Linked DNA regions of Mus musculus. The protein of the gene in region 1 interacts with the protein of each later gene in a biochemical or structural test. Links are inferred from orthologs where the notes say so. Each region holds a gene or a part of one and is shown in the gene's direction. Other genes may lie near its edges. The genes, in order: Ppp2ca, Akt1, Cdk2, Chek2, Mid1, Rbl2 and Mapk1.

Region 1 (4,130 bases):
ACATTCAGGAGATGGAGGGACAGTTCTAGGTTAGCATTGGATGTATAAAACCTTGCCTCAAAAATTCATAAAAACCAAGAAAATTTAATGTATTAAAACTAAGATTTTCTATTCTTTAAAAAATGTAGCAAAGTTTATAAAAACAATTGTTCAAATTGTTGTATTCTTGGTGCTTCATATTGAACTCAGCCTCTTGCATGCTAGCACAGATTCATCACTGAGCTATAGCCTTACTTCAGATTTTAAACATTTTTGCAGTTGCTTGTTAATTTTGTGTAACACTGTGTGGGTACAAACATACCACTAAATATGTCTTGTAGTTAGTTATCTCCTTCCACCATATGGGTCCTAGAAATCAAACTGGCAGCTAACAGATAAAATGTAGCCATATTGTGTCTTATGACTTGGGCTATCTTGGGCCAGTGAGATGACATAGTGAGTAAAAGACAGTTACCACTAAACCCGATGACCCGAATTTGAGCACTGGAACCCACATGGATGAAATGAGAGGACACATACGTGCACTCACAATAAATGAAATGTAATTTTAAAATCAGACTTGGTGACAGGCACCTTTACTGTCAGTCATCTCATAAGATAGGTCTTATTTTTATTGTTGTTGTGTGGTGGTTCTGGGGAGTGTTGTTTGCGTTGTACAGTCTCTAAGCCAAGGCTACCCTCAAGTCCTCAAGTTGGTTGCAGTCTTTGGGGGAGGGGGCTTGAGACAGGATCAGGCTGTAAGAAACCTCAAACCCTGATCCTTCTGCTTCTCCCAAATACTAGGATTATAGACATGGACCAGCATGCCTAACCTTAGATAATCTAATTTTATTTGTTTGTTTATTTCTTGACATTAGTTCACATTTAATTATTACAGCCACTGACTGTAGTGGACTATTAACACACCTTCATTTACATTCTTTTTGGTTTTTCGAGACAGGGTTTCTCTGTGTAGCCCTGGCTGTCCTGGAACTCATTCTGTAGACCAGGCTGGCCTCGAACTCAGAAAACCACCTGCCTCTGCCTCCCGAGTGCTGGGACTAAAGGCTTGTGCCACCACGCCCGGCTTCATTTACATTCTTGATTAGAGTGATTATCACCTTTTTGGGTGTTCTGTGACAGTGGCTTGGAGCCTGTGCAAAGCACATGGAGGTCTGAAAATCTTTCAGTTACAAGTTGGCTAAAGCAAGCGTCCTTTCTAGTTCCTTTAGCTGCATATTGCCTTGGGTAATCATCATTGTATCCTCTTCTATGGCACTTTTGTTTCTTTTAAATTCTTTCCTGGCCCAGTCCTAAAGGTATTTTTAGTCAGAATCACTTGGAACTTGCCTAATCGCTCGCAAAATCTTTCTGTAGAGGAGGAGAACTTGCTGCCTTCTCATGAACTGCTTCAGCGTCAGGGCCGCAGGAGGCAAGCGGGAAGCCGCCCTGTTGCCTACCGATAATCTGATTTTAAATGGGCAAAGTACTGAAGGGCTACTTCATACTAGAGGGTACATGATGGCTACTTCATACTAGAGGATACATGATTAGTAAGGACATGGCTAGTTAACATCATTAGTTATTAGAAAAATCTTACGTTAAAGTCCCAAGTGCCAACTTCACGTCGGTTACTAAGACAGTGGCTGCAGTCCATACCAAGTGTCCTGTCAGGAATGTGAAACGAGCTTTAAGCTCTCACCTTACTCTCATCTCTAGCCCTCCTTCTCTCTCTTCCTTCTCCCCTCTCTCCACGTGGCCATGGCCGGCCGGCCTCTTTCTTTCTACCTTCTCTCTTTCTCTCTGCCTTTCTACAATAAAGCTCTAAAACCATTAAAAAAAAAAGGAATGTGAAATGAGTTTGCCACTTTAAAGAATTGGTGAAGTTACATATAAATCGATCATGTAGCCCAATAGCTACACTCTAGGAATATGTTCAAGAGAAAAGAAAGCATGTGAGCAGATGAGCTCAGTAACTAAGAAACAGGAAAACTGGAGCAGATACAGGAACCATGGGTTGTGGCCTGCCCTCCCCCGATGCTAGTGTGCAGCTGTGAAAGGAGCACACCCTCATCTGTGCTGTAGCATGGTGACTCAGGATAGCTCGCGCTCCGTGGGATATGCAGCACAAGAAACACTAAAATTTCTAGAAAAGTCATTCTCAAGACAGAAATAAATGAGTGGTTGTCCGGCTGGAAGAGTGGGGCCATTGCAGATCGGGAAGGAATCTTGGCAAGACTCTAAAACTGAGTTATGGTAATTGTTGCATAACTAAATTTAGTAAAGGTCAGAAAAAAGTATGATTTTTATTTCACACAAGATGGTGCAGGGGGTTTGGTCTTAATTGAGATATTGGTAAGCATTTTATAAACCTTTAATTAAAAATGCTTATAATCATCAGGCTGTGGTAGCCCATGCCTTTAATCTCAGAGCTCAAGAGGCAGAGGCAGGTGGATCTCCTTGAGCTGAAGAACAGCCAGGGCTACACAGAGAAACCCACCCTTGAGAAACAGCAACAGCAGTTTTAAAAAGTTTATCATCTAATTTCAGTTCATTGAAGTTTAGAGATGTGCACTCTCAGCCCCTCCTCCTCTCAGTTGGAACTCTGGATTTACCTATAGAAAGTTGTATGAAGTGTCTTGCTTTTTGTTTTTTTTGGAAAGAGCTGGCATCTGTTGTCGTTTTCTTTAGGTTCGTTACCGAGAGCGCATCACCATACTCCGAGGGAATCACGAGAGCAGACAGATCACACAGGTTTATGGGTTCTACGACGAGTGTTTAAGGAAATACGGAAATGCAAATGTTTGGAAATACTTCACAGACCTTTTTGACTATCTTCCTCTCACTGCCTTGGTGGATGGGCAGGTGTGTGTACCATAAAACTCACTTCTGGGTTTCTTCCTGTTTCCAATAATTGTTTTCTTGGTGTTTAGCAGGCAGTGATTTTCCATTTGGGGATACATTACTAAATACTGATAAGTTCTTTTCTAGGTGCTGAACTGTCAGGATAAGATCATGGGGTGGAAAATGTAACCTATTCAGCTTTGGGGGCTCTTTGTAGAGGGGTCTGGGAGATGGAAGGCATTGTTTACCAGTGTGAGGGGGACTGTCAGGCTCTGGAGGGACTGTGGGTAAGCTAGAAAAACACTCTTTAGAAGGAACCTCAGGGATGGTGGTTGGTCAGGAACAGGAATAGATACTGTACTCTGTAGTTGGTATTAGGTCGAACAATAGCCAGTTATTCAGGGTCCATCCTCATCGAAACAGAGCCTAGAACTGATGTAGCTAAATGGTGTCAGCTCCTGTCTAATGTGTAGTCCAAAGAGTTCAGTTTCTCTTAGGTGTAATTAGCACTTGTAATCAATCTTTTTAGATCTTCTGTCTACACGGTGGTCTGTCACCATCCATAGACACACTGGATCACATCCGAGCACTCGATCGCCTACAGGAAGTTCCTCATGAGGTATGGCTGACAAATTCTCAGACACTCCTTAGGAAAAACAAAAATCGTTTAGCTGTAGCATAATTTATCATATGTTCACTCGGGTTTCAAAATGAAATGACATGAGCTCCTTACCATTGCTCATTAGACGTTTAGAAGCCTTCCTGGTCGTCACCACTAGCCCATCTGTCTAATAATAAAACTCAGATACACGGGCAGATGGGGCAAGTTACTGAGTGCAGTGTGCCTTGTGGGAATTGATTTTCATTTCAGAGATACCTTTACTGCAAAAGTTCAGCACACATACTAAGAATGTGATTTTTGTAGAGTGTTGCTTCTGGTGAATTATCAAATGAAGAATTCCACATTTGGAAGTCAGTTTAATAACTTATACCTGCTTTTTAGGGTCCAATGTGTGACTTGCTGTGGTCAGATCCAGATGACCGTGGTGGCTGGGGGATATCTCCTCGGGGAGCTGGTTATACCTTTGGCCAAGATATTTCTGAGACATTTAATCATGCCAATGGCCTCACGTTGGTGTCCAGAGCTCACCAGCTGGTGATGGAGGTATGTTCTTTTCTTGAAACCTGTCAAATTAACTGTAGTAACTGAAGGAAAGGAGTTTGACACTGATGCTGTCAGCAAGATGTCCTTTATTCCTAGAGTCTGCCATGGGAGCTAAACCCTCTTCAGTAGATGGACAGTCAGA
Region 2 (4,866 bases), on another chromosome or scaffold:
GCTCAGGATAGTGCCTGCATCCTACCAAGCTGCCAGGGATGAGAGGGAGGAAGACCTCTGTGAGAGAGGGGGGAAGACCTCTGTGAGGGGGGAAGAGGGTCAGGAACCACAGGTTGGTTTGTTTGTTTTTGGTTTTTGGTTTTTTTTTTTTTGAAGATTTATTTATTATTATACATAAGTACTGTAGCTGTCTTCAGACGCACCAGAAGGGGGCGTCAGATCTCATTACGGGTGGTTGTGAGCCACCACGTGGTTGCTGGGATTTGAACTCAGGACCTTCGGAAGAGCAGTCATCTTACCCGCTGAGCCATCTCGCCAGCCCCCGGGACCAGTTTTTGTTGGAGAGCATGGCTGCAGAGCAGGCCAGTGGCAAGTCTCAGTAAGGCGGACCTTACTCACCTTGTGGCTCTGTCTAGGAGGCCCAAAGAGGTGTTGCCAAAGTGTGGACCCAGAAGGAGTCGCCTATCCCCCAACCCACTCCGGACTCGGGGGAAGATAGAGACACAAAGAAGGGAGGCGGGACTGGTTACTGCATAGAAACAGGGCTCACCACAGGTAGGAGCTGTCTCCAACAGTGGCTTCCAGGAAGAGCATCCGAGTGAGAAGGGTCACTAGAGAACAGCCAGAAATTGCTGTGTTCCACAAGAGGGCGCCCTGCTGGCTCTAACTGTGTAGCAACGGGATGGGGGAAGTAGGAGAGGAGGAGTTGGGGGCCTGGGGTGAAGGTTTGCTGGGCGAGTGATGGATATTTGTGTGACTCTCAGCCTCTGAAGGCCACTCTCAGGGTCAGGGATACTGCTGGAGCAGAACAGAACTGCTGCTGAGCCTCTGACTTAGCGCCCTGGAGGCTCTCTGAGCTGGGGCAGCTGTGCAGCAGATAGGGCACAGAACAGAGCCCCCCATCCCCATCCCCGTCTGAAGGGTATGGGGCGTGGCTGAGAGGAGAGTGAGTTCTTCTCCGGGAGTGGGGTGTGCTTCCCAGGTCAGCCCCAGGAGCCCGAGAAGGAGCTCCGATTTCCATCCTGGGCGATAGCGTGGACTACTAAATCTACCCTCTTGTTTACACTCCTGGTGAACTCTGACCCTTGTATGAAAAACAAAAAATGCCCCCTGGTTAAAAATACCAAACACATGAAGGTAAATTCACAAAAGGGTTACTATCAAGTCGGGCTTCTGGGACGAGGGAGGGGCCCTGCGCAGGAACTGCTGAGGCTGGCCGAAGGGGGAAGGACTGAGGATGGATAAGAGGCAGGAACCACCTTGACTCTTCAATTCCGGGACACCATAAGGAACCGCCCCCCAAGCCTCACCCATCTGAGTCCACAGCAAGGTCTTGGCTGACTGAGTCCTACCCCTGAATCTGCCCCCTCTGGGTGTCCAGGTGTGCTCCCGTCCTCCCTGTCACCTGGGGAGTCCTTATCAGTTGCTGTGGCAGGCAGTACTGGGTTGGATGAGCCCTCAATAGCCTTCTTTCTTGTGTTGGCTGGCCTTTAGGACACCGGTGACCGGTCTCTCCCGGCTCCCAAGATGGGGACAGTTGGGCCTCTTGAGAGTCAAACTGATTCACTTCCCACGCTGGCCTCCCTCCTTGGGGTCTGGAGAGCTAGGCAGGGAAGGGCCAGGTCCCACAAACCGGGAAACCCAGACCAGAGCTGGAGCTCTGGATCTGCGGCGGGGCTCCGTTACCCGCGTGGCCCTGGCTCGGGGCCACCCGAGGGCGGCGCCTGCGGGGCCGCGCTCGCGCTCACGGGGTGCCTCGCCCTGGCCGCGGGCCGCGCCGGGGGCGCCCGGGGCGGCGGAGGCGGATGTGGGCGGGCGGCGCGGGCGCGGGGCGGGGAGAAGGCGGGCCGGCGGCGGCGGCGGCAGCACCGAGTCGGCGGGCGGCCGGCCCAGCGCGGCAGCGCACGCGAGTCCGGGACCAGCGGAGCGGACCGAGCAGCGTCCTGTGGCCGGCACCGCGGCGGCCCAGATCCGGCCAGCAGCGCGCGCCCGGACGCCGCTGCCTTCAGCCGGCCCCGCCCAGCGCCCGCCCGCGGGATGCGGAGCGGCGGGCGCCCGAGGCCGCGGCCCGGCTAGGCCCAGTCGCCCGCACGCGGCGGCCCGGTGAGTGCCCGCGCCGCGCCCTGTTCCGGGCCGCGGCCACCCCGCTTTGTTCCCGGCCGCGCCGCGCCTCGGAGTAGGAGCAGGAAGTGGCCGAGCGGAGGCCTGGGCGGGGAGCGCGCGGGGCCGGGCTGGTCGCGCAGGAGGCCCACGCCGGCGAGGGTGCGGGCGGCCGCTGCGTGACCTTGGGTGGCCGCTCCACGGGGCCAGGTCGCGGGAGAGGGGCGCTGTTGGTGTGCGCAGTGGGGGCCGGTGCGCCCTGGGGCCTGGGGCTGCCCGGGCACTCGGCCAGCGAGGGTAGGAGAAAGGCTCGCCCCGCGGCCTGCGTGCGGTGGGAGGGCCCTGGGAAGGAGAACTCATTTCCCACGGACAGAAAGTTGTGCGCGGTGGCACAGTGCCCAGGCTAGCCCACAAAGGACTGCTAACCCTCCTGGGCCCGGAAGCTGCTTCCTGGACTAGGTGGTTTCTGGAGGTGCCGGGGGGGGGGGGGGCCTTGAGGACGGCGTGGACTCGGTCTCCCGGATCCGGGATACTGGCTGAGCTGATGGAATTGTCTAAAGAGGACTGGTTTCTAAGTTGGGCGGTGGTGGAACCTTGGGCCTCTGCTGTGTGGCCAAACTCCTCCTTCCCCCAGGCCCCTGGTCTTGCTCCAGGTGGCTAGCCTTGACTGCCTAGAGCCATCACTAAAGTGAAGGGCGAGTCGCCTTGGTGGGGCCCCAGCTGGGCGTGTGGCTCACGGGCCAGTGTCCCAGAGGGGCTGAACTCTTAAGACTTAACAATAGCAACCATATGCCCTTACGGCATGGCATGGTGGGAAGAGTGTCCCATGCTTAAGTCGGCTTGATGTGGACATTGGCGTTAACATGGCTGTGTTTCTTCACTCCGTGTGTATGAATTTATTTTTACACGGCTCTGGACAGCTGACTGTCATCAGCAGACCTTGGGGCTGGGTGGGGGTAGGGGACATCCACCGAGAGAGATCTTGCAGTACAGCCCTCTGCCTCCAGGCCACACCCACTCTGACAGTCACTGAGCTGGGATTTCTTCTTGGCTTATCTTTTTCGTTCTGGCTTTTAGTCGCCACCTGCTTGCTGAGGGAAGGGCTCTTTCCTTCTTGGGCCAGGTGTGGTCTTTCCTACTTTGGCATTTGGCATTTGACACATAGCAGCCGGCCTCCCTTTTGTTCCACATTTAGCTTCATACAAGGCAAAGTGACAGAGACTCTGGGTGCCAGCTTGTGTCTTCTGGGCTAGAGAGATGACATAGGGGGTTGCCAGTCAGCTGTAGTAGACCCTAGTTGGGATCTATTCCACGGCGGCCTTCCAGTCTTTTCCTGGGGATTGTCCACATGAACTCCAGGTGGAGGGACAACACAGGCTTGCTGGTCAAGGGCTGTTCAGGTGCACTTTCCCAGAATGTCCAGACTTGGGGATATTTGAAGGATACCTAGGTGTCCCTCTGGAAGAGAAGCAATTGGGGGGCGGGGGGATCTTTGCGAGGTGAGCTGGCACCCTTTGCTTTGCACAGGCTAGCTAGTTGGCCGCTGCAGGACCCTTGTGTGTTACCTGCCCTGTTTGTGGGCTCCCGGATACTGTAATTGTGGGTCGTAACCACTGCTTTGGGTGTTCCCAGCAGGCTGTCTCAGAGTCTCTCTGTCTCAGGCGTAGGGTGAAGGCTCGACAGAACCATATGTGCCTAGTGTGTACTCACCAAGTGAAGGGGACAGCTTCACAGGCAGGGTGCTGTGTTCCCAAGGGGTCTGGGGTTCTGCCTGAGGAGTTTTTAGTGTTGTCCTGAAGGACTTTGGGCTCAGCTTCATACCGTGCCTGTTCTACTTGTGCTCTCCAGTGTTGGCCTTCCCGCGTTCCTAACGTGAGCCGTAGGGACCCTGCGACCTGCAGTAGGCCTCCCAGACTGTAGGGGGTGGTGAGACAGTGGTAAGCACCCCTCACTAGTGCGAGGCAGAGCAGAAGCAGTCAGGGCTGCCTGGAGGAGGTGGCCTAATCTGCTGGGGTAGCAAATTGAACAAGCTGCCTAACAGGAAAAGCCTTCTGGAAATGAATGTTTCTAGCAGAGACCAGGATGATGGGGGTTGGCCACAGCCTTGCACCCCGGACTACCAGGCCTAGATCTGGGTGTGTAGCATCTACTACTGGAGGGAGGTCTTCTATAGCAACCTTTGGAGACACGTCAGGCAGGCTGGCAGGGAGTAAGGGTGAGGAGGGAACCTGGGAACCAGAGATGGGTAGATCACATGAGGGGACATGGGTAATTGTGGGCCCTCTGGGGCTCACGGAAGCTAGTCCCAAGTGGGACCTTGTCTCACGTGCTTTCTCGGCTTCTTCTAGACGCTGCGGCCAGGCCGGCTGGGCTCAGCCTACCGAGAAGAGACTCTGAGCATCATCCCTGGGTTACCCCTGTCTCTGGGGGCCACGGATACCATGAACGACGTAGCCATTGTGAAGGAGGGCTGGCTGCACAAACGAGGTAAGTCCGCACTCCACAGGAGAAGCAGGCCGGCCTGGGTCTGCCTAGCTCTTCAATGTGGAACCGGGGCGGGGGTGGTGGTGGTGGTGGTGGGGTCTTTACTGACCCAGCAGGCCCTATCAGAAAGTGCTTGCTGTGTCTAGGCCTAGCAGACAGAAGGGGCACCTCCCCATCATGGGGCTCTAGGCCTGCTTCAGGAGTATGCAGGCCCAGCTTTTCCCATAGTATGGAGGTCACGGCCTCCTCCTGGGGCCTCTTGGCCAGAGGCTGAGGCCCTGT
Region 3 (2,936 bases), on another chromosome or scaffold:
CTTAAGCCCCAGAACCTGCTTATCAATGCAGAGGGGTCCATCAAGCTGGCAGACTTTGGACTAGCAAGAGCCTTTGGAGTCCCTGTCCGAACTTACACTCATGAGGTAAGTCCCTTTATGGTTTTCTTTTACAGTCTTGGGAGATGTTCATAACAGCATTCAGAAATTACCAGAGTTCTGGGGCAGGAGTTCCTTGGTAAATGGAATCTCTGACAACCCAAGGGTCTTTATTTACGTGTATAAGTGTTTTGCTTGCATGTATATCTGTACCACACACCTACCTGGTGCTCACAGAAGTCAAAAGAAAGTGTCTGATACTCTAATACCCTGGAACTGTAGTTACAGATTGTAGTAAGCTGTCATATGGGTGCTGGGAATTGAACCTGGGTTCCCTGCAAGAACAAGTGCTCTTAACTGCTGAGCCGTGGCTCTAACTTTTACCCAAAGGGTCTTAAGATATGCACTGAATTCATACAAGGTTGCCTGGACAGATACTAGGCCAGGAAAACTGGTTGCTGTATTGTCTAAATATCTCAGATTTTCCAGGAAGGTCCCAAATCTGGGGATTTAGTATTACACTACTGGATAGACAGATGGCTTAATAGTTAGGAGCATATAATCTTGCAGATGACCTGAGTTAAGTTTCCAGAGCCCGTGTCTGGCAGTTTGCAGTCACCCCTAACTCCAGCTCCAAGGCATCAGACACTTTCTTCTGGCTTCTGAGGGCACTGCACAGTTGTGGACACCTACATAGACGTGCATATATGCACGTTATTGGAATAAAAAAATAATAAATCCCCCCCCCCCCTTTTTTTTTTTTTAAGCTTTTCGAGACAGGATTTCTCTGCGTAGCCCTGGCTGTCCTGGAACTCACCCTGTAGACCAGGCTGACCTTGAACTCAGAAATCCGCTTGCCTGCGTCTGCCTCCCAAGTGCTGGGATGAAAGGCGTGTGCCACCACTGCCTGGCAATAAAACCCTTTTTAAAAAGAAGCTGAAGGTAGCAGGGTTTTGTTGAACTGAGGTATGTGACCCTGCCTGCCTTGTAAGCCCTGTTGTCTTCTTGTTCCCCAGGTGGTGACCCTGTGGTACCGAGCACCTGAAATTCTTCTGGGCTGCAAGTACTACTCCACAGCCGTGGATATCTGGAGCCTGGGCTGCATCTTTGCTGAAATGGTATGGAGGCTTGCCAGGTTCTATGCTGCCCACCCATGCCCACATCCAAGAGCAAAACCTTTCTGGAAAAGGGTTTTCCGGGAATCATGGACCTTTTATCACAGGGTTCTCTCAAGTATCACCACTATGGAGGTGGTTGCCCCGATACCAACTACAATTTTGGAATATTCGTAAACACAAGTTATCTAATATATATATATATATCTTATCCCCTGAGTGAGCTCAATCCATTCTGTTACCTATTCCGCCATTTTGTTTTTTGTTCTGTTTTTGAGATACTCTCATTCTGTAGCCCAGACTGGCTTTGTATTCTTGATCCTTTGCTTCGGCTCCACTTTCCACCATTACCATCTCGCCCATGGGACTGACTTGACAGGCATGAGCCACCCTGCTGGCTCCACTCATTCAGCTGTTTCAGCCTTAATCCTCAAATATTTGGAAGAATGAATTCCATTTAGTACAACAGGTGGCCTACAGACCACGTGCTTCCAATGATAGCTGTGAACGTGGTCTCAACACAAAGTCATAAACTTATTTAAAACAGAGTGGGTTTTGTTTTGTGAGTGATAGGGTTTTGTTTTGTTTTGTTGCTTTTGATTGGTTTGGGTTGGTTTGCTTGTTTGGTTTGTTTGTTTTTGTTTTTACAAGACAAGGTTTCTCTGTGTAGCCCTGGCTGTCCTGGAACTTATTTCGTAGACCAGGCTGGCCTCAAACTGAAAGATCTACCTGCCTCTGCCTTCCAAGGGCTGAGTTAAATTAGGTGTGCGCCCAGCTTTGGTTTTTTAACATTTGATTTAATAGTATTTGAGCTTGAACATTGTGGATGAGAATGTCATGTCACAGTGTCAAGGGTTGGGCAGGTCTGTTTTGTTCCCTTTTGTCCTATAGACCTCTTATTCGAAACAAGGAATTTAGTAAAGGCAAGTGGTCTAACTGACCCATGCCTATTGGTTTTGTAGACTTGGTCATGCCCTGCCCCTCAACCTCTGGCTTTTCAGACTGAAGGATCCCTTAAGCCTAGCCTCATATGGGAGCTCCCATTCCATTTAATACAACAATGGGTAGACAGATGAGAAATATTTTTATGGTCCTTTGGGTTGAAACTGGGGACTTGGAGACCATTAGCCTAGATATAGGTATACATATAGAATGTGAATTTATCCACCAGTACCTTACAATTGCCCATATTCCTCTCTCAATTCATCAAAAAAATATTTGTTAAGCACCTAGTGTGTACCCAGCACCATGCTAAGTGCTGTGGGGAACACAGAAGAAATGGAAGACACAGTCTCTGCCCGCTGTGCTCCTATCTAGAAGTGGCTGCATCACAAGGAGGGGGGATGACCGCAGTGTCTGCCCCACACCCCGTGAGTGGCTTGGGATCCCTTTGCTATGCGTCAGGGGCACCCCAGACAGTCACCCCCTCCCAGCCCCACCCAGCCTCGGGAATCTATGAAGCCACGGTTGGGGGAAGGAAGGAGGGGCGAGGAGACAGATAAGGGACTTCATTGTCTCAAGCTCTGTATGACCGACCCCATGATAAGCCCTGGGGAGGGGAGTCATGGGCCCTGCTGCCCTTTCACTGCCTATGGGAACCTCCTTTGTACAAGGGGCAATGTGGACTGACGTCAGTGTGGGTCTTGGCTTTCCTCTTTCCCCATTTCCAGGTGACCCGCAGGGCCCTATTCCCTGGAGATTCTGAGATTGACCAACTCTTCCGGATCTTTCGGACTCTGGGGACCCCAGATGAGGTGGTTTGGC
Region 4 (4,130 bases), on another chromosome or scaffold:
GAACAACTTATTATTTCACACAACCTCCCCCCCAAATATCCTTCCTTCACCCCCCTTTTCTCTTCGTATCTTAAAGTGCTTTCCTCCAAGACAGAAGGTTTTAAGCTTTGAGGAAACTGCTGCTACACAATAGAAATATGCTGTGCCTCACTTGTTTGGGCTGTGAAGTTGAAACCAGTGGAGCTGGGGGTAGTTAACAAGGGGGAGAGGCATTGTGGAGGCAAGTGCCTAGACCTGAGTACCTGGTCGGACATGAGGAAGATTGTAGATTTTATACCGAGTGTAATAGGAAACCTCAGGAAGGTAATACGCAGCTAACTAAATATTTTTCAAAATCAAACGATTTGAGAAGTGTTTTGAGAAGTTCTTTGGTTTTTTTTCTGTGTAGCCCTGACTGTCTTGGAATTCACTTCACTCTGTAGACCAGGCTGGCTGCCCGATTCTGCTTCCTGAGCGCTGGGATTAAAGGGGTGTGCCACTGCAGCCTGGTTTATTCAAGAAGTCTTAACGGCTGCTTATCATTTCATGGTTATGTATAAACCATCAATTATTTAACCCATAATTGTACCCAGCCTGGTGTAGTGGCACATGCCTGCAATCTTGGCACTTGGGAGGCTGAGGCGGGAATATCTGGAATTTGTGGCCAGCAAGTTCGAGTCCAGCTGGGTTACACGAGACTCTCTCAAAGAACAAGTAAATAGAGCTGGAATGTAGCTCAGTTGGTAGAAAGCATTTGCCTAGTGTGCACAAAGTTCTGGGTTTTATTCCTAGCACCCCTATAAATTGGGAATGGTCGGCACATGATTGCAAACTCAGCATCAGGAAACTTGAGGCAGAAGGATTAGAAGTTTACCATCACACAGGGCCCCCAATGGAGGAGCTAGAGAAAGCACCCAAGAGCTGAAGGGGTCTGCAACCCTATAGGTAGAACAACAATATGAACTAACCAGTACCCCTAGAGCTCGTGTCTCTAGCTGCATATGTAGCAGAAGATGGCCTAGCCGACCATCGTTGGGAAGAGAGGCCCCTTGGTCTTGCGAACGCCAAGGCCAAGAAGTAGGAGTGAGTGGGTAGGGGAGTGGGCGGGTAGGGGAGAAGGGGGGCCGTATAGGGGACTTTTGGGATGGCATTTGAAATGTAAATGAAGAAAATAGCTAATTAAAATAATTTGAAAAAAGAAGTTTCCCGCCATTTTTGGCTACATAGAGAATTAGAAGCCAGCCTGGAGGGTTTGAGCTCCTGCCTGCCTCAAATACCAGGGTCAAATAATCACCTACCAAAACAACCTAAAACAAAACAAAGGTAAGCCATTGTTGTGTCTTTGTTTCCCTCCCCTCCTCCCCGCCTTGAGCCCCAAGGCCTTGAATTTGCTAAACTTGCAGTGTGCACTGTTTGTTTTTGTTTCTCTTTTTGTTTTTTTTTTTCGAGACAGGGTTTCTCTGTGTAGCCCTGGCTGTCCTGGAACTCACTCTGTAGACCAGGCTGGCCTGGAACTCAGAAATCCACCTGCCTCTGCCTCCCAAGTATTGGGATTAAAGGTGTGTGCCACTGCTGCCCGGCGTCCCTCAGTCTTTAATACAAAACTTTGATATTGAATCTATACTTTTGATTGTCTTTTTCTTTTAAAAGTCACATTTCTTTCTTTCTTTCTTTTTTTAATTAACTTGAGTCTCTACCTTTTATTTTTTAAGATTTATTTATTTATTATTATATGTAGGTACACTGTAGCTGTCTTCAGACACCCCAGAAGAGGGCATCAGATCTCATTATGGATGGTTGTGAGCCACCATGTGGTTGCCGGGATTTGAACTCGGGACTTCTGGAAGAGCAGTCAGTGCTCTTAACTGTTGAGCCATCTCTCCAGCCCCTATTTATTTCTTTAAAGATTTATTTTATGTATATGAGTACACTGTAGCTGTCTTCAGACACACCAGAAGAGGGCATCAGAGCTCATTACAGATGCCTGTGAGTCACCATGTGGTTGCTGGGAATTGAACTCAGGACTTCTGGAAGAGCAGTCAGTGCTCTTAACTGCTGAGCCATCTCTCCAGCCCTTGATTGTCTTCTTACTGCTGTTTTGACAGTGTCTTTCTTGTAGGCAAGTCTCTTAAGCTTGTCCTGCTGGACTCACATGTGCACCACTCCACAGACTTGGTTCCTTCTTCTAGTTAACACTTTGATACATTCTTTTCTGTGTGTTTTTGTATCAACAGACTGTGTTAACGACAACTACTGGTTTGGGAGAGATAAAAGCTGTGAATATTGCTTCGATGGACCACTGTTGAGAAGGACGGACAAGTACCGGACTTACAGCAAGAAGCATTTTCGTATTTTCAGGGTAGGTAACGGTTGCTTCTCTCCTCGGAGACCCGGTGATCTAGTCGTTGCTCTGGGGCGTCTTTTGCTATTAATTCTTGGTGTCAAAATTTGGACATAAAATATTCTCTGTTTTAGGAAATGGGCCCTAAAAATTGTTACATCGTATACATAGAGGATCACAGTGGAAATGGAACCTTCGTAAATACCGAGCTTATTGGGAAAGGCAAACGCTGTCCTCTGAGTAACAACTCTGAAATCGCACTTTCACTATGTAGAAATAAAGGTAATGTTATTACGGTTAATGAGCTTTTCTTAACTTCCTCTGTAAAGGGAAATTTTTGTGTCTCTGTCAGTTATGCTTTAATAATGCTTTTCAGTCAAATTAAGTAAGTCAGTGTTCAGTAGCATCCAAGAGTTACACCATTGCCTGAGTTGTGGGGTTTTTGTTTGTTTTTATTTTTGTTTTTAGACGAGGTCTTACTATATGGCTGTCCTAGCATTCCCTATGTAGACCAGGGTGGCTTTGAACCCTGCCTGCCTCTGTCTTCTGAGTGCTGAGAACTTACTTTGAGTGTGTGTGTGGTTTATGTATTTGTGCATTTGTGTAGGTGTGGAGGCCAGCAGGGGATGTAAGGTGTCTTACTCTCATCTCCACCTTAATTATTTACATTTATTGTGTGTGTGTGTGTGTGAGAGAGAGAGAGATTGATTTATGTGAGCATGTGTAGGCTTACATGTTACAGTATGCATGTAAGCTTACATGTTACACTATGCATGTGTAGGCTTACATGTTACATGTTACACTATGCATGTGTAGGCTTACATGTTCCAGTATGCATATAGGGGTCAGAGAACAACTGTTGTGAGTTCATTTTCTCCCTCCACTGTGGGTTCTGAGGACCAAAGTCGAGTCATTAGGCGTACATAGCAAGTGATTTTTGCCTACCGAACTATCTGGTTGGCCCCTGGATTAAAAATAATTCACTTTGTATTACATGACAAATGTAATTCTGTACCTTATTATATTATGTGTGTAGTTAAACTTGAGAACCAGTCTTTTAATCGTGATTTAACAAGCCCATTTCTGTCCTTTCCCCTTAGTTTTTGTATTTTTTGATCTGACTGTAGATGATCAGTCAGTTTATCCTAAGGAATTAAGAGACGAATACATCATGTCAAAAACTCTTGGAAGGTAAAGTTTATTTTCTTTATATAATAAACTAAAACTCATTTTTTTCTGTGTATTCTCATGGGTTAGTTTTTTATAACTGATTTTATAACATTATTATTATATAGCTGTCAAACTTTTGTGATACATGTACTACTGATTTATTTGATAATGATCAGTTTAAATAAACGTTTTTCCCTTATAAATTTTAGTGTTGGGATAAGCGCTGCCACCAGGCTTGGTTTCTCTGATAACTATTCATGTGTGTGTGTGTGTGTGTGTGTGTGTGTGTGTGTGTGTGTGTGTGTATGATGTGTGTGTGCGCATGCGGTGTGCATGCATGTGTGGTCTCTATGCTTGCCTGTGTGAGGATGCTTGTGTGCAGAGTCCCGAGGTCAGTATCGGTGCCTTCTTCAGTGGCTCTGCACTTTGTCTTTTGTAGCTCACTGAACCTGGAGCTTTCTGACTCAGCTTCCCTTTCTAGATTGCGAGCCCTAGAATGTCCCAGTGTTCACCACAGCAGCACTGGGATTAGAGACAAGCTTTTAAGGCCGGTGCTGTGTATCCAAACTCAGGCTCTTGTGTGGCAGACTTCTTTTTCTTTTTAAAGATTTATTTATTTTTATTTATATTCATACACTGT
Region 5 (4,130 bases), on another chromosome or scaffold:
GTAGTATTCCATTGTGTACATACATTCCATTTGTTTATCTGTTCATCAGATGGACACTTAGGTTGTTTCCACTACATGACTACTGGGAATGATGTTCCGGCAAACATGGGAGTGCAAATGTCTCTTTAACATGCTTATTTTACTTCTGAATTACATGACAATGCTGTATTAAGTTTTAATAAATGAAAAATCAATTTTATTTATATGTGATTCATGTGTATCAGTGTGTATATGCATGTATGTAAGCACACTATTGGGTGCATGCTTGTGGAACCATGAATTTACTTTGGGACTCTCCCTTGATTGCTCTCCACCTTATTCATTAAGGCAGGGGATGAACCCAGAGTTCTGGCTAACTAGCTTTCTCTGTCTCCTTCTCCATGTACTAGGATTACAGAGACTTTCATGCCCATCTAGCAGTTATGTGCATTCTGAGAGTCCATGCTCCAGTGTTCCTACTATATGTTACACATTACATGGCAGGTGATTTAACCATTGAATGTCTATCTACCCATTATCACTTTCAGTTTTTTGCTTTTTACTTTTAAAGTTTCTCAACACTGCTTTTTGTTGTTGGTGGTGGTGGTGGTGGTTTGTTTTTTGTATTGGCTTATAATATGGTAGCATCAAAATAAGTGCCAATACTGTATATGTGAAAGTAAAAATTAAATAATAAGAAGTAGGTTGTGCATGATGGTGTGTTCCTGTGATAGTGCTTCTCTCCTATGATCCCAACACTCAGGAGACAGAGGCGATAGTATTGTTTGCAGCCAGCCTGTAATATATAGCAAGACCCTGTCTCAAGAACATATTTAAATGAGTAAATAGCATAATTAATGATAATCATCACATAATAAAGCATAGGAAAAGGCCTACATTTTTCCTTTCTATTTTTATGCTTCTGATAGAAAAGGAAAATAAATTTGACAAGGAGATAATTTTCTACCCACAATTAATAAAAGTCTTGCTTAATAAACCAAACCTTTCAGTTTCTTCAGAGCCATCCATAGGTGCAATGGACTGGGTCCTAGGGAGGATGGTCAAGTATTTTTTATGTAAGAGTAGCCTTTGGCTTTACATTGCAGATTGTGAAATGATGAGTAAGCACTGGGTTTTTCAAATTGCAGCCACTCCTTTATTTAGCAGTAAATATGAGTGACTAGTTGCAGGTCATCTCTGAGCTAGTAATTTCCTCTTCTACTCTTTAACAGGCCCAGGACATACTTTATATTCTTTAGTTATCTTATTTCGGTTGCTAATGTGCTGATGGTGTTTCAGCAAATGATGCACCCTTCATATTTCAGATGGATGTTGTTTCATAAAAGGTCACCTGATTCTAGAAACCCTGCATTTTGTATGGAAGCGGAGGTGTGAATACAATTGACTGATTGTCAGAATTAATATACACAGCTTTGGAAGTGAAGCCTTCCCACAAACCCAACTGAGAACTTTCTACCCTTACAAGTGATTTGAACCTCCTGACCTGGTAAACTGCACTATTCTCCCACAGCTTGCAATGGGCTGCAGCTAATACGCCAGGCAGCACTCTACAGCTCTACTAATGGCCTGGAAAGGGAGAAGGTTCAAAAAGGCTTAGTTCCCAGGCCTGCTAATGAGCAGGAGGCCTCTTCACCCTAATGAGCTGTGCTTGTGTGGGATTCTTTGTCGTCTCTCTTTGCAGGGAACGCAGGCAGGCGTTCACAAAAGCAACGAGGTATTTATGGGAAAGGGAACATTCAGCTGGGCCACCCGAAGGTGGCCTGGAGGGGATCAACAGACCTGGCAGAGGTCACGACTGGGCCAGCAGGGTTGTGAGTGTGAGACAAGACCTCCTGCCAGCCAGGCCTGTTGCTAGACAGAGCGCGGCCTGAGATAGGATATTTTGGGCAAAATGGGACTGCACTAGGATCCTCAGGAACCTTTACATAGTCTTTCAAACATGCTTTCTAAACTGAAACTATTACTGTTAGGACTTATCAACTGTATGTGATAATATTTGTCATCAGTCTTCACAAAGGCTCTCAGGTAGTTTTATGTATTTCTGTCTCTCACACCTCATTTCTGGATTAATCAATACATGAGCAATGAGCATATGCCAAAAATACTGCCTTCACCATGAGCAGCTTTGTGAAAAATCTGTTTCTATTTCCTCAAGAATATCTTGAGAAATGATGTTCTGAATTTGAACATGATTGTTTCTACTGAAATGCACGCATTTAACTTCATATATAATTAATGTTCATCTCCATAACAAGTACGTGTGTACAGTTGGGAATCCTGTCCTGCTATTGCCTACTGATAGTCTGTAAAATGTATATACATTAATATTTAAGTTCACAAATTGAAAGTTGTGAGTGACTATATTTCATTATCAAGTTTCTGCATTTTAATTTTAACCAAAAGAAAACTTTGTTTGTGATGTAAGATTACTCTGACCGTACACCAATTAGAGAAATTCCGGTTTCAGTCACTTATCAGATTGCAGTTAGACCTTTTAAAAGCTAAAGCTGCAAAAACTATAAACAAACAACAATAAACATTAAAAAGGAAAGCTGCCACTTTCAACAATTAGAAATTTGAGAAAATGATAGGCTTGTGTTTTTTGTTTGTTGGTTTTTGTTTTTTAATCATTTGCTCCCAGTAAAGACAGACATTTGGAACGTACATATAATTTCCCTTCTATAACCTATGTTTGGAATTATGAAGAGATGCATTCGAAGCTGACAGTTCCCCCCGCCCCCCGGCTGACCCCTCATGCTTAATTCAATCTTGCGCTCTGTTTCCAGATAGCTGATCAGCTTCCTTGGACTTTGCTGATGACCCCGGAGAGTTTTGCCTGAAGATGGAAACACTGGAGTCGGAGCTGACCTGTCCTATTTGTCTGGAGCTTTTTGAGGACCCTCTCCTGCTTCCCTGCGCACATAGCCTCTGCTTCAACTGTGCCCACCGAATCCTGGTCTCTCACTGTGCCACCAACGAGCCTGTGGAGTCCATCAACGCCTTCCAGTGCCCCACCTGCCGGCATGTCATCACGCTCAGCCAGCGAGGTCTAGACGGGCTCAAGCGCAACGTCACCCTCCAAAACATCATTGACAGATTTCAGAAAGCATCTGTGAGCGGGCCCAACTCTCCCAGTGAGACCCGCAGGGAACGGGCCTTTGACGCCAACACCATGTCCTCTGCCGAGAAGGTTCTCTGCCAGTTCTGTGACCAGGATCCTGCCCAGGATGCTGTGAAGACTTGCGTTACTTGTGAAGTGTCCTACTGTGATGAGTGCCTGAAAGCCACTCATCCGAACAAGAAGCCCTTTACAGGCCATCGTCTGATTGAGCCAATCCCGGACTCGCACATCCGGGGGCTGATGTGCCTGGAGCACGAGGATGAGAAGGTGAATATGTACTGTGTGACCGATGACCAGTTAATCTGTGCCTTGTGTAAACTGGTTGGGCGGCACCGCGATCATCAGGTGGCAGCTTTGAGTGAGCGCTATGACAAATTGAAGGTTAGTCCGATCCGCCTTAAGCCAACCCCTTTCTGCCAGCAAATGTCATGGAAATAAGAAGTGTATTCACTGCTAGCTACATGGCAGGTGAAGGATTTCTCTTCACCTTTGTTGTCTGATTAGTTGTAGCATGTTTTTGGCAGCCTATAGATGTTACACAATGAGGGTATCTTGTAAAAGTTGACTGCTGCTTGTAATTTTAGTGTTGTCAAGGTGAGGGCAAATTCTAAAAATCTGGATCATTTTCAACTCTTGCTGTTTTCTGGATCATTTTCAATGTCTGCAGTTGTTGCAAAGAGAGGAGAGAGGGAAAGCATGGGGGAGGGAACAGTGAGTGAACAAGAAAGAGGAATATAAAAATCGATCTTTTGAGCTTTTACAGGCATTTATTTTCTTCACTCATGCAGGAAAAAGTAATTTACTCACGTTGTACCTTTATGTAGTTACTACACAAACAAAAGACTAGAAAGGAGAATGTGTGTAGCAAATGTCTGTGTCCAACGTGGAATTTTAGAGTACATGTGACCCCCTTGTGTAAATGATATTCGGCTTATTGGTGAACTAGCATGTTCTGACAGTCTCGGGTTTCATGAAAGCGTTCCTGTCTATGGAAGCTTCTTTTACTCAG
Region 6 (4,130 bases), on another chromosome or scaffold:
TTCAGTGTTCTAACCGTAAAGAACTTGTGAACCCTAATTTTAAAGGTAAGTTTATTGAAAGCCCGTGTTTCTGCATGGTTTTTACTCGTGGAAACTGTATCCCCAGATGCAGGCTTGCTAGCCTCAGAGGACATGAGTATTGGAGAAATTCTGCCACCTGAGTCGTATGAGTGCTTATACTGAAGTCAGCATCTCCAGACATTTTTTAATGTTTCACTTTATTTTATGTGTATGGGTGTTTTGTCTGCATGTATGTTTGTGTACCACATGTGTGCCTGCTGTTCCCACAGGCCAGAAGGAGAGTGTTAAATCCTGTGTAACCGGGCTTATAGATGGCCGTGAGCCATGGGTGCTGGGAATTGAGCCTAGGTCCTCTGAAAGAGTAAGCTGTGCTCTTAACTAGTGAGTCATCTCTCCAGTGCCCACCCTACCCCCACCTCTAAAAACGAAAAGCAAATATAACCGAATTTAGTTTTAAATGATAACTTTGGCGGTTTTTGAAAAATATATAGCAAAAGCCATGGTAGTATTTCTTGCTGTTGGCACATTTGGTGCTTAACGCACCCCAAGTAGCAGCAAAGAGTTGGCTAAAAGAACGGCATCTCACTTCTTTTGCTACAGAAAAATAAAATGTTGAAACAAGAACCTAGCTCTCTGGGTGACTGGTATGAGAGTCATACTCATCTTGGTGGTACGTGTAATGTGCTTTAGACTATGTAATTTCTATAAGCCATATACATAAATACTGAGGATGTATAGACTAGTCTATATTGCTGATTCTGCATGAAAAACACCGTGGAAGAATTCTGGCCGTCAGCTTGGGCATGGTTTCAGTTAGAACTTCAACGTGCCCATCCGGGTTGGTTTTAAAATTAGTGGAGCTAGTTACTCCCAGTTCCCTGTGACTCGAGAGGTGTGAGACGTAGGCTTGAGATGGAGTTTGTGACAGACTTCTTGGCTGGCCCTGAGTTTGATTCTCAGTACTAACGAGAACAAACAAGACAGCAGAAAATCAAAGCAGAAAAAGAAAGTTGTAGATGTCACCGAAGAGTTTTTGGCTATGCATGTTCATCTAATTAAGATGGTGCAAATGGTCCAAGATTCCAAAGACTAAACTCTAAATCTTGGTCCAAGCATTTTCAACTAGGAGCACCTGACCTTTGCCCCTTGCTGTGCGCCCCATTGTCTTCACTTTATTCTCTCACCTTTTGTTCTGGGGACTGGACACAGGGTGCCCTGGTCCTGTGCTGCCTCTGCTGCTTCTGTCTGATATTGTTATTTGTTCTGTTTTTACCTCCTTTAATTTTCTTTGATTGTTTTATGTTCTTATGAAAGAGAACACTATAAATTGACTCTTAGAGAGTAAACAGGTTGTCGGGCTTGGAAGCAGGTGTCTTCACCTGATGAGCCATCTCAGCATTCAGAAATGGGTAATGTCTGTCTGTCTGTTTGCTTGTTTGTTTGTTTGTTTGTTTGTTTGAGACAGGGTTTCTGTAGCTCTGGCTGTCCTGGAACTCAATGTGTAGACAAGGCTGGCCTTGAACTCACAGAGATCCACCTTCCCCTGTTCCTGAGTGCTAGGATTAATGGTGTGAGCCACCTCACCTGGCAGAACTGTATAATTTTTTAAGTGTTGTTTTTTTTGTTTTGTTTTGTTTTTTAATTTGAACGTAAGGCTCATTTGCAGAACAGAGTTCTGATGTTTTTCAGATATTCCCCCAAGCTTTTATTTTTCCAACAGCCTTTAGTCACATTACTAATTCAATTGATAATTTATATAGTTCTTTCTCTATGTGAGGCAGGATGTTACAGCTCAGTCGGTCCTCCTGAGCATGGGTTACAGGTTGAGGAAGCGTGTCCCTTTCTGTTTGTCCTGGGGATGTTGCATATCCATCTCTGACTTCATCTCTCTTCATCTTTTGAGGCATATGTAAATTAGTTACACATGCCCACCATGTGCTGAGCAGACTAACATTTCTGTTTCCGTGTACTGTATGTTGGCGAGTTGGTGCTGACCATTGTCTCCATCTTGTGATTTTATACACCACAGGCCTGTCCGAGGACTGTCACCCCAAGGACTCTAAAGCGTCCTCCGACCCGCCGTGTGTCATTGAGAAGCTGTGCTCCTTACACGACGGTCTAGTGTTGGAGGCCAAGGGGATAAAGGAACACTTCTGGAAACCCTATATTAGGAAACTGTTTGAGAAAAAGGTTCGTAAGTAATGACATACGGACGTTTTCTGGGTAAAGACTCGGTCGCACGTAACCCAAGAACCTTTCTTTTCATCGTAGCTTCTCAAGGGGAAGGAAGAAAATCTTACTGGCTTCCTGGAGCCCGGAAACTTTGGAGAGAGTTTGTGAGTACTTACGCTGCACACCTGCTAGGATGGTTTGGTTGCTTGCTTGCTTTCTGGGGTTTTTTTTTTGTTTTTGTTTGTTTGGTTTTGGTTTTGGTTTTTGGTTTTTTGGTTTTTTGGTTTTGTTTTGTTTTTTGGTTTTTGTTTTTGTTTTGAGGCAGGGTTTCTATTTGTAGCCTTGGCTATTCTGGAATTTGTTCTGTAGACCAGGCTGGCCTCCAACTCAGAGATTCCCCCTGCCTCTGCCTCCCCATGCCCGGCTTGCTCTGATACTTTAACTTAGCTGTGAGGAGACCTCGCGCTCAGTGTTTGTACTGTTTGTACGTTGGATGGTTTTAATGCTTTATGGTAGAACTCATAGAAGCCATCACAGTTCTGGAAACTTCTACTATAACCATATGCCATATGTCTTTATTCTCAGTGAAACTTGTTTTTGTTCTGTTCAAAGTTTTATTACTCAAGATTTTAGACTCTAAATTTTGAAATTAAGAAATGCTTTTGTGGGCTAGAGGGATGGCTCAGTGGTTAAGAGCACTGACTGCTCTTCCAGGGGTCCTGAGTTCAATTCCCAGCAACCACATGGTGGCTCACAACCATCTGTAATGGGATCTGATGCCCTCTTCTGGGGTCTCTGAAGACAGCAACAGTGTACTCATATACATAAAGTAAATAAATAAATATTTTTTAATATAAAAAAAGAGAAGAAAGAAATGCTTTTGTGCCTGGCCATCAGAGCATGGGGCTGACATCTCAGCACTTAGGACCTGAGGCAAGGTGATTGTAAGTTGGGGGCTACTTTGTCTCAAAAAAAAAAATGAAGTTAAGGAAAAAAGGACTGGTATTTGGATCTTTAGAGGTGACAGTGTGGCAATACCAGGTCTTTAGAGGTGCCAAGAACAGCTGAGGAAATGTTCCTGCATGGTCATATGCCAGTTGTATGTCACCCAGCATCACAACTTTAGTTTAGCGTAATTTAGTATAATTTAGTTTATCATTATTTATTATTATTATTAGCTTATTGAAGGCAGGTTTGTTCAGAGTTCCTACCTTGACACACTGTTAAAAAAGTATATTCAGTGTGTACTGGACACTTAGATCAAAGCGAGTTGCAACTTCTCTTGGGTTTTTGAAATGAGCAATTATTCTACAGAAATAAATGACCTTGAGAAATTTGCGAGATGCTGTAGTGAGTAAAACCCTGGTGTGGAACATGAGCTGAAATGGCGGTCCTGTTTCCCCATAGTAAGGCCGTTAATAAGGCATATGAAGAATACGTGTTAGCCGCTGGGAATCTGGATGAGCGCGTATTCCTTGGTGAGGATGCTGAGGAGGAAGTTGGGACTCTGTCTCGGTGTCTAAGTGCTGCCTCAGGTACAGAGAGTGCTGAACGGACGCAGATGAGAGACATCTTGCAGCAGCATCTTGACAAGGTGAGTTAAGCCCAGAGGGAAACAGGAGCCTCTTGTGATGCACTGACCACGTTTCAAAGCCCCGAGGGAGATGCGGCTGCGGCAAGAGGAAACTGGCTTCTGTTGTCTCCTCATAATCCTGTGTGTGTGTGTGTGTGTGTGTGTGTGTGTGTGTTTTAAATGTTTAGAAGAAAAGTCAAGTAGATCCAACTTTCAAAGGTTTTAGTTAGCTCTGAGAAGAAAATTGACTGTTAATCGAAACAGATGCGTCCTGCTGGCAGTCGTTGCTTTTGAAAAAACAGGCTGTAGTGTATACCCTGCACAGTGGTCACAGAGACACTTGGAAAATATTAATTTATCCTAA
Region 7 (4,130 bases), on another chromosome or scaffold:
GGAGGTTAAAGAGCAGAACCTATTATCATCAACTTCTTTACACACCTTATGGTCTTACAATACATATGCAGAATTTAGAGAATGAGGAAGAAAGGCAGAGATTGGACTCAGTGGCGATGCTATTTCTAGGCCAGTACTTCTGGGTTGGTCTGTGAGGATATTGGTGACAAGAAGCAAAGAAAACAGTGCAATACAATTACACATTGCTTCTGGGCCAAAGAGATGGGTGTTGTTTGTTGGCTACCATGCCCTTTAAGCTTTGGAGGAAATTGGTTAATAGTGGACAGTTTGGAGAACAGAGAAGTTGAGACTTCAAGATTGACCAGTATTCCACTTGGGAGGCAGAGGCAGGCGGATTTCTGAGTTCGAAGCCAGCCTGGTCTACAAAGTGAGTCCTAGGACAGCCAAGGCTACACAGAGAAACCCTGTCTCAAAAAAAAAAAAAAAGATTTTTTTTTAAAATAGATTGACCGATATTCTGTTTCAAGTCTCAGTGTAGGCCCACAACAAGCCACCTGTGGCAGGACTAGTGTTTGTTTTCTTCCACGAGAGTGTGCCGTGTTCTCTTCAGTCTCTTCTTTCTTTTGATGGCCCAGCTGTGTCTGACGCTGTATGGGGAGAGGGTTAAGAGCAGTTGAATCTGTTTCAGTGCTTTGCTAAGTGTGAGCAGCTGGCAGTGTTTGACCTTAACCTCCTGTCACACAGATATATAGTACAGGACCTCATGGAGACGGACCTTTACAAGCTCTTGAAGACACAGCACCTCAGCAATGACCACATCTGCTATTTTCTTTATCAGATCCTGAGAGGGCTAAAGTATATCCATTCAGCTAACGTTCTGCACCGTGACCTCAAGCCTTCCAACCTCCTGCTGAACACCACTTGTGATCTCAAGGTCAGCCAAGTCATTTACTCTCAGGATGGTGTGTACTTTTAAAGACAACTTTGAAGTATTGTTATTTATATTCAAAACTATCAGATAGACAAACATTTTATAGAAAAATACAGATACACAGTATGAGTCTCATTCCTTTTTTAGCCCATCCTTCCTTCAGAGACAGTAGCCACTGTAGCAAAATTAGTAGTTCTTATATGTCTATACTTTATGTGTACATCATCATATGTGTTATTTTTGTTTCTTAATTCTCTGTATCAAGAAAACAAAACAAGGCTCACAGTGACAGTGACACCAGATTGGTTATAATCAGTGTCAGGTATGGTGGCATATGCCTCAAATCCCAGCCCTGGGAGGCAGGGGCAAGCAGATCTTTGGGAGTTTAAGAGCAACCTGATGTGCATAGTAAGTTCCAGGCCAGCGAGGACTCCATAATGAAACTCTGTCTCAAGAAAAAGGAAAAGTAACATTGACAAAGTCTTTTTCCAAGTATGTACCTTAGTAAAATGAAAATGTGTATTCATACAAACACGTGTACACAAGTACTCGTTATAGTGTAATTCATTGTCACAGGAAAATGGAAGTCAGATATCTAACTAATTATGGATAAAATGAAGATCTGTACAATGAGTTGTTTATAATTGATAGTGTTAGGGGAGATGGTACTAATTTGGCAACTTTTTATATTGTTCTAAAGTTTCAGAATATGAAACTGTGACTGTAATATTAAATATTAATGTTAAAGCATTGTGTGCTTTATATGAATTATATATCAGTAAAGAAACTTTATATGTAGGTGTGTAAAAATAATCATTTGAGCTCTCAGTTAAATATACATTCCTGGGTGAAGCTTTGTTAGGTGCCAGGGCAATGGCTGCTCTGAAATCGGAAAACGGAGAGATGGGAACCCAGCAGACAGCGTATAATTGATAGCATGTGCTGCGGCACATAGGAGGTAGTATTCAAATGCAAAGGGAAGAAATAAAATGGTGTCCATGCCAGCCCTCCAAGAATAAATGGGGTTTCATAAGAGAGGGCCTTTTGGGCATTGTAGTGTCATAGGCTAGAAGACCAGAGAAATAACAGTCGAAAGGAGGGCCAAGCAAAGTACTACATTCTTTTCTGTTTGAGGGCAATAGTGGGTACTAAGCAATCGCTTATAAGTTAGAGATTGGCTTTAAGTAAGGTATGGGCAGCCTTCTGTTGGTCTAGCTAAAGCGTGCTTTTTGTTATTTTGAAACAAGGTCTTACTATAACTCAAGCTGGCCGCAAATTCATGCATCCACTTCCCAAGAGTTAGTTAATAATAGAGATGTACAGTAGATGTGTACAACACCCAGCAAGGTTGAAGCTGATCCCAAACTCTCCATTCTCCTACCTCATTCTCTTCAGGTTTTTATTATTGGCATGCTTCACAATAGCTGGTTTCATTTCCCATTTTTACGGTTGATATCTGGAGTATATCATTGGCATGGAGAGCATTACATTCCAGAGATGAGTGTAGTGTTTCACTGAGATTCTTATGTACCACAGCAGTAAGATATACACTCAGAATAGGGTATGCTGGCAGGTACTGTGTGACATTTGAGCAAATACTAGTGTGGAAGAGAGTCACCTACTCAAGCTCTGGAGTCATATATGTATCACATTGTGGTACTACATGGTGACCCTTAATTTCTCAGGTTCACAAAAACATACAAGGGGTTTTTAAACTCCGTTTGCAGCTTCTGTTGGCATATTTCTGATGGACCAGAAAAATGGGGGTTGTGGTCAGTACAAGTATGTGTGCTCATTGTTTGCTAAACAGAGTCCACAGAGTTATCAGGAAGCCTATATGATCGTAGTACACCTGTAAACAAGGATACAAAATGCAACACACAGTTTTAGGAACATTTCCTTTTCCATAGTTCAAGGGGAGGTCAGATGAGAATGCTGACCCTTATAGGACATCTGAGGCTGCTTGGACTGCACTAGTGGTCTGGCTTCTTTCATGGAGTTATTCTGAGTATCTCTGGGGCTTTATCTGTAAGCATGATGGGCTTGTTTGGGTTTTGTTGTTTTTTTATTGTGGAGGGTTTTTTCTTTTGTTCTGTGGTGCACACCTTGAATCCCAGCACTGGAAAGGCAGAGGCAGGCAGATTCCTGACTTTGAGGCCAGCCTGGTCTACAGAGGGAGTTCCAAGGTAGCCAGGGTTACGCAGAGATACCCTGGAGAGAGGGGGGGGAGGGGCGGGGAGGAAAAAAGGTGACTAGACTGGCTTTGGTTAAAGGCAAATCATAGAATGAAGAGTTATCGCTACAAAAGAGAAGCACTATGAGTTACATGAGTTGAGAAGTTGAATAATAAATCATGTAGAATTGGAATGGGTTGGCTATCATCTACCATAAAAAGTGGTAGTGGCTAAGAGTGCTCGCCCTCAGATGTGGGGGGAAATCATTGCTTTTTCTCATTCGAGTCTGTTTGTCTGTTTGTTTGTTTGTGTTTTTGTTTTTTTGAGACAGGGTTTCTCTGTGTATCCCTAGCTGTCCTGGAACTCACTGTATAGATCAGGCTGGCCTCAAACTCACAGACTTTTGCCTCTGCCTCCTGAGGGTAGCAGAAAAGGCATGTTCTACTCCAGCCACTGGTAGAAAAGGCTGTTATAGAAATAAGTCGAATAGCATGTACAGTGAAAACCTTGAGGTAAATCAGAACTTAGAACTTAATAGTACTCTTCCTCACTAGTGATAGCTAAGTCTGATAGCTGGGCTAGAAATGTAACTCACTAGTAGAGTGCTTTCATAGTGTGAGGCCTCAGTCAATCCCCAGTGCTAGACTAGGGGAAGCTATGGTTATTCTCCATCCTTAGCCCAAGGGGACAGTGACCATCAGAGTTTTCACCTCATTGTCACACAAGCTATCTTTTAAAGAAGAGGCTCAGGTTCACAGTGAAGGTTCTATATACTAAGTAGAATAGCTAGAGTAGGCGATTGGGTATGGAGAAAAACAGGATTTCCTCATTGTTCTCTCCTACATGAGAACCCACCTGGGAAGTGACCTGCAAGAGAGTTACGAAAGAAGAAGATGGGCTGGCTGGCTACTTTTTTAAATAACACAGTAACATTTCTTTTGCAAAGTAAATATGCAGCTTCTTGGATGCTGTAATTGAAGCAAATGTGGCTCTTTGAGAACAAAGGTGCTACCTCTAATATGAAGCTCTACATAGGAGGATAGGATACCATAGGAAGACACTTG

Evidence for each region.
Region 2: of the proteins of Ppp2ca (region 1) and Akt1, one has a biochemical effect on the other in vitro, tested with the Homo sapiens proteins (6 studies listed by BioGRID and IntAct, with this or other methods). The link is inferred for Mus musculus from reciprocal best matches to the Homo sapiens genes PPP2CA and AKT1.
Region 3: of the proteins of Ppp2ca (region 1) and Cdk2, one has a biochemical effect on the other in vitro, tested with the Homo sapiens proteins (2 studies listed by BioGRID). The link is inferred for Mus musculus from reciprocal best matches to the Homo sapiens genes PPP2CA and CDK2.
Region 4: of the proteins of Ppp2ca (region 1) and Chek2, one has a biochemical effect on the other in vitro, tested with the Homo sapiens proteins (2 studies listed by BioGRID). The link is inferred for Mus musculus from reciprocal best matches to the Homo sapiens genes PPP2CA and CHEK2.
Region 5: of the proteins of Ppp2ca (region 1) and Mid1, one has a biochemical effect on the other in vitro, tested with the Homo sapiens proteins (2 studies listed by BioGRID). The link is inferred for Mus musculus from reciprocal best matches to the Homo sapiens genes PPP2CA and MID1.
Region 6: the proteins of Ppp2ca (region 1) and Rbl2 form a complex in vitro, tested with the Homo sapiens proteins (2 studies listed by BioGRID and IntAct, with this or other methods). The link is inferred for Mus musculus from reciprocal best matches to the Homo sapiens genes PPP2CA and RBL2.
Region 7: of the proteins of Ppp2ca (region 1) and Mapk1, one has a biochemical effect on the other in vitro, tested with the Homo sapiens proteins (2 studies listed by BioGRID and IntAct). The link is inferred for Mus musculus from reciprocal best matches to the Homo sapiens genes PPP2CA and MAPK1.

The regions. Positions count from the first base shown.
Region 1 is NC_000077.6:52,115,317-52,119,446, forward strand, and holds part of Ppp2ca (serine/threonine-protein phosphatase 2A catalytic subunit alpha isoform), read left to right. Parts: intron 1-1,169; exon of another isoform or gene 1,170-1,446; intron 1,447-1,681; exon of another isoform or gene 1,682-1,692; intron 1,693-2,670; coding exon 2,671-2,844; intron 2,845-3,352; coding exon 3,353-3,442; intron 3,443-3,826; coding exon 3,827-3,988; intron 3,989-4,130. UniProt on the Homo sapiens protein: Catalytic subunit of protein phosphatase 2A (PP2A), a serine/threonine phosphatase involved in the regulation of a wide variety of enzymes, signal transduction pathways, and cellular events.
Region 2 is NC_000078.6:112,671,237-112,676,102, reverse strand, and holds the start of Akt1 (RAC-alpha serine/threonine-protein kinase), read left to right. Parts: upstream 1-1,826; 5' UTR 1,827-2,103; intron 2,104-2,163; exon of another isoform or gene 2,164-2,397; intron 2,398-4,448; 5' UTR 4,449-4,541; coding exon 4,542-4,587; intron 4,588-4,866. UniProt on the Homo sapiens protein: AKT1 is one of 3 closely related serine/threonine-protein kinases (AKT1, AKT2 and AKT3) called the AKT kinase, and which regulate many processes including metabolism, proliferation, cell survival, growth and angiogenesis.
Region 3 is NC_000076.6:128,699,582-128,702,517, reverse strand, and holds part of Cdk2 (cyclin-dependent kinase 2), read left to right. Parts: coding exon 1-105; intron 106-1,073; coding exon 1,074-1,175; intron 1,176-2,398; coding exon 2,399-2,542; intron 2,543-2,842; coding exon 2,843-2,936. UniProt on the Homo sapiens protein: Serine/threonine-protein kinase involved in the control of the cell cycle; essential for meiosis, but dispensable for mitosis. Phosphorylates CABLES1, CTNNB1, CDK2AP2, ERCC6, NBN, USP37, p53/TP53, NPM1, CDK7, RB1, BRCA2, MYC, NPAT, EZH2.
Region 4 is NC_000071.6:110,846,176-110,850,305, forward strand, and holds part of Chek2 (serine/threonine-protein kinase Chk2), read left to right. Parts: intron 1-2,213; coding exon 2,214-2,338; intron 2,339-2,454; coding exon 2,455-2,602; intron 2,603-3,420; coding exon 3,421-3,511; intron 3,512-4,130. UniProt on the Homo sapiens protein: Serine/threonine-protein kinase which is required for checkpoint-mediated cell cycle arrest, activation of DNA repair and apoptosis in response to the presence of DNA double-strand breaks.
Region 5 is NC_000086.7:169,924,168-169,928,297, forward strand, and holds part of Mid1 (E3 ubiquitin-protein ligase Midline-1), read left to right. Parts: intron 1-2,786; 5' UTR 2,787-2,842; coding exon 2,843-3,502; intron 3,503-4,130. UniProt on the Homo sapiens protein: Has E3 ubiquitin ligase activity towards IGBP1, promoting its monoubiquitination, which results in deprotection of the catalytic subunit of protein phosphatase PP2A, and its subsequent degradation by polyubiquitination.
Region 6 is NC_000074.6:91,083,383-91,087,512, forward strand, and holds part of Rbl2 (retinoblastoma-like protein 2), read left to right. Parts: coding exon 1-45; intron 46-2,050; coding exon 2,051-2,211; intron 2,212-2,292; coding exon 2,293-2,357; intron 2,358-3,600; coding exon 3,601-3,787; intron 3,788-4,130. UniProt on the Homo sapiens protein: Key regulator of entry into cell division. Directly involved in heterochromatin formation by maintaining overall chromatin structure and, in particular, that of constitutive heterochromatin by stabilizing histone methylation.
Region 7 is NC_000082.6:17,017,581-17,021,710, forward strand, and holds part of Mapk1 (mitogen-activated protein kinase 1), read left to right. Parts: intron 1-705; coding exon 706-895; intron 896-4,130. UniProt on the Homo sapiens protein: Serine/threonine kinase which acts as an essential component of the MAP kinase signal transduction pathway. MAPK1/ERK2 and MAPK3/ERK1 are the 2 MAPKs which play an important role in the MAPK/ERK cascade.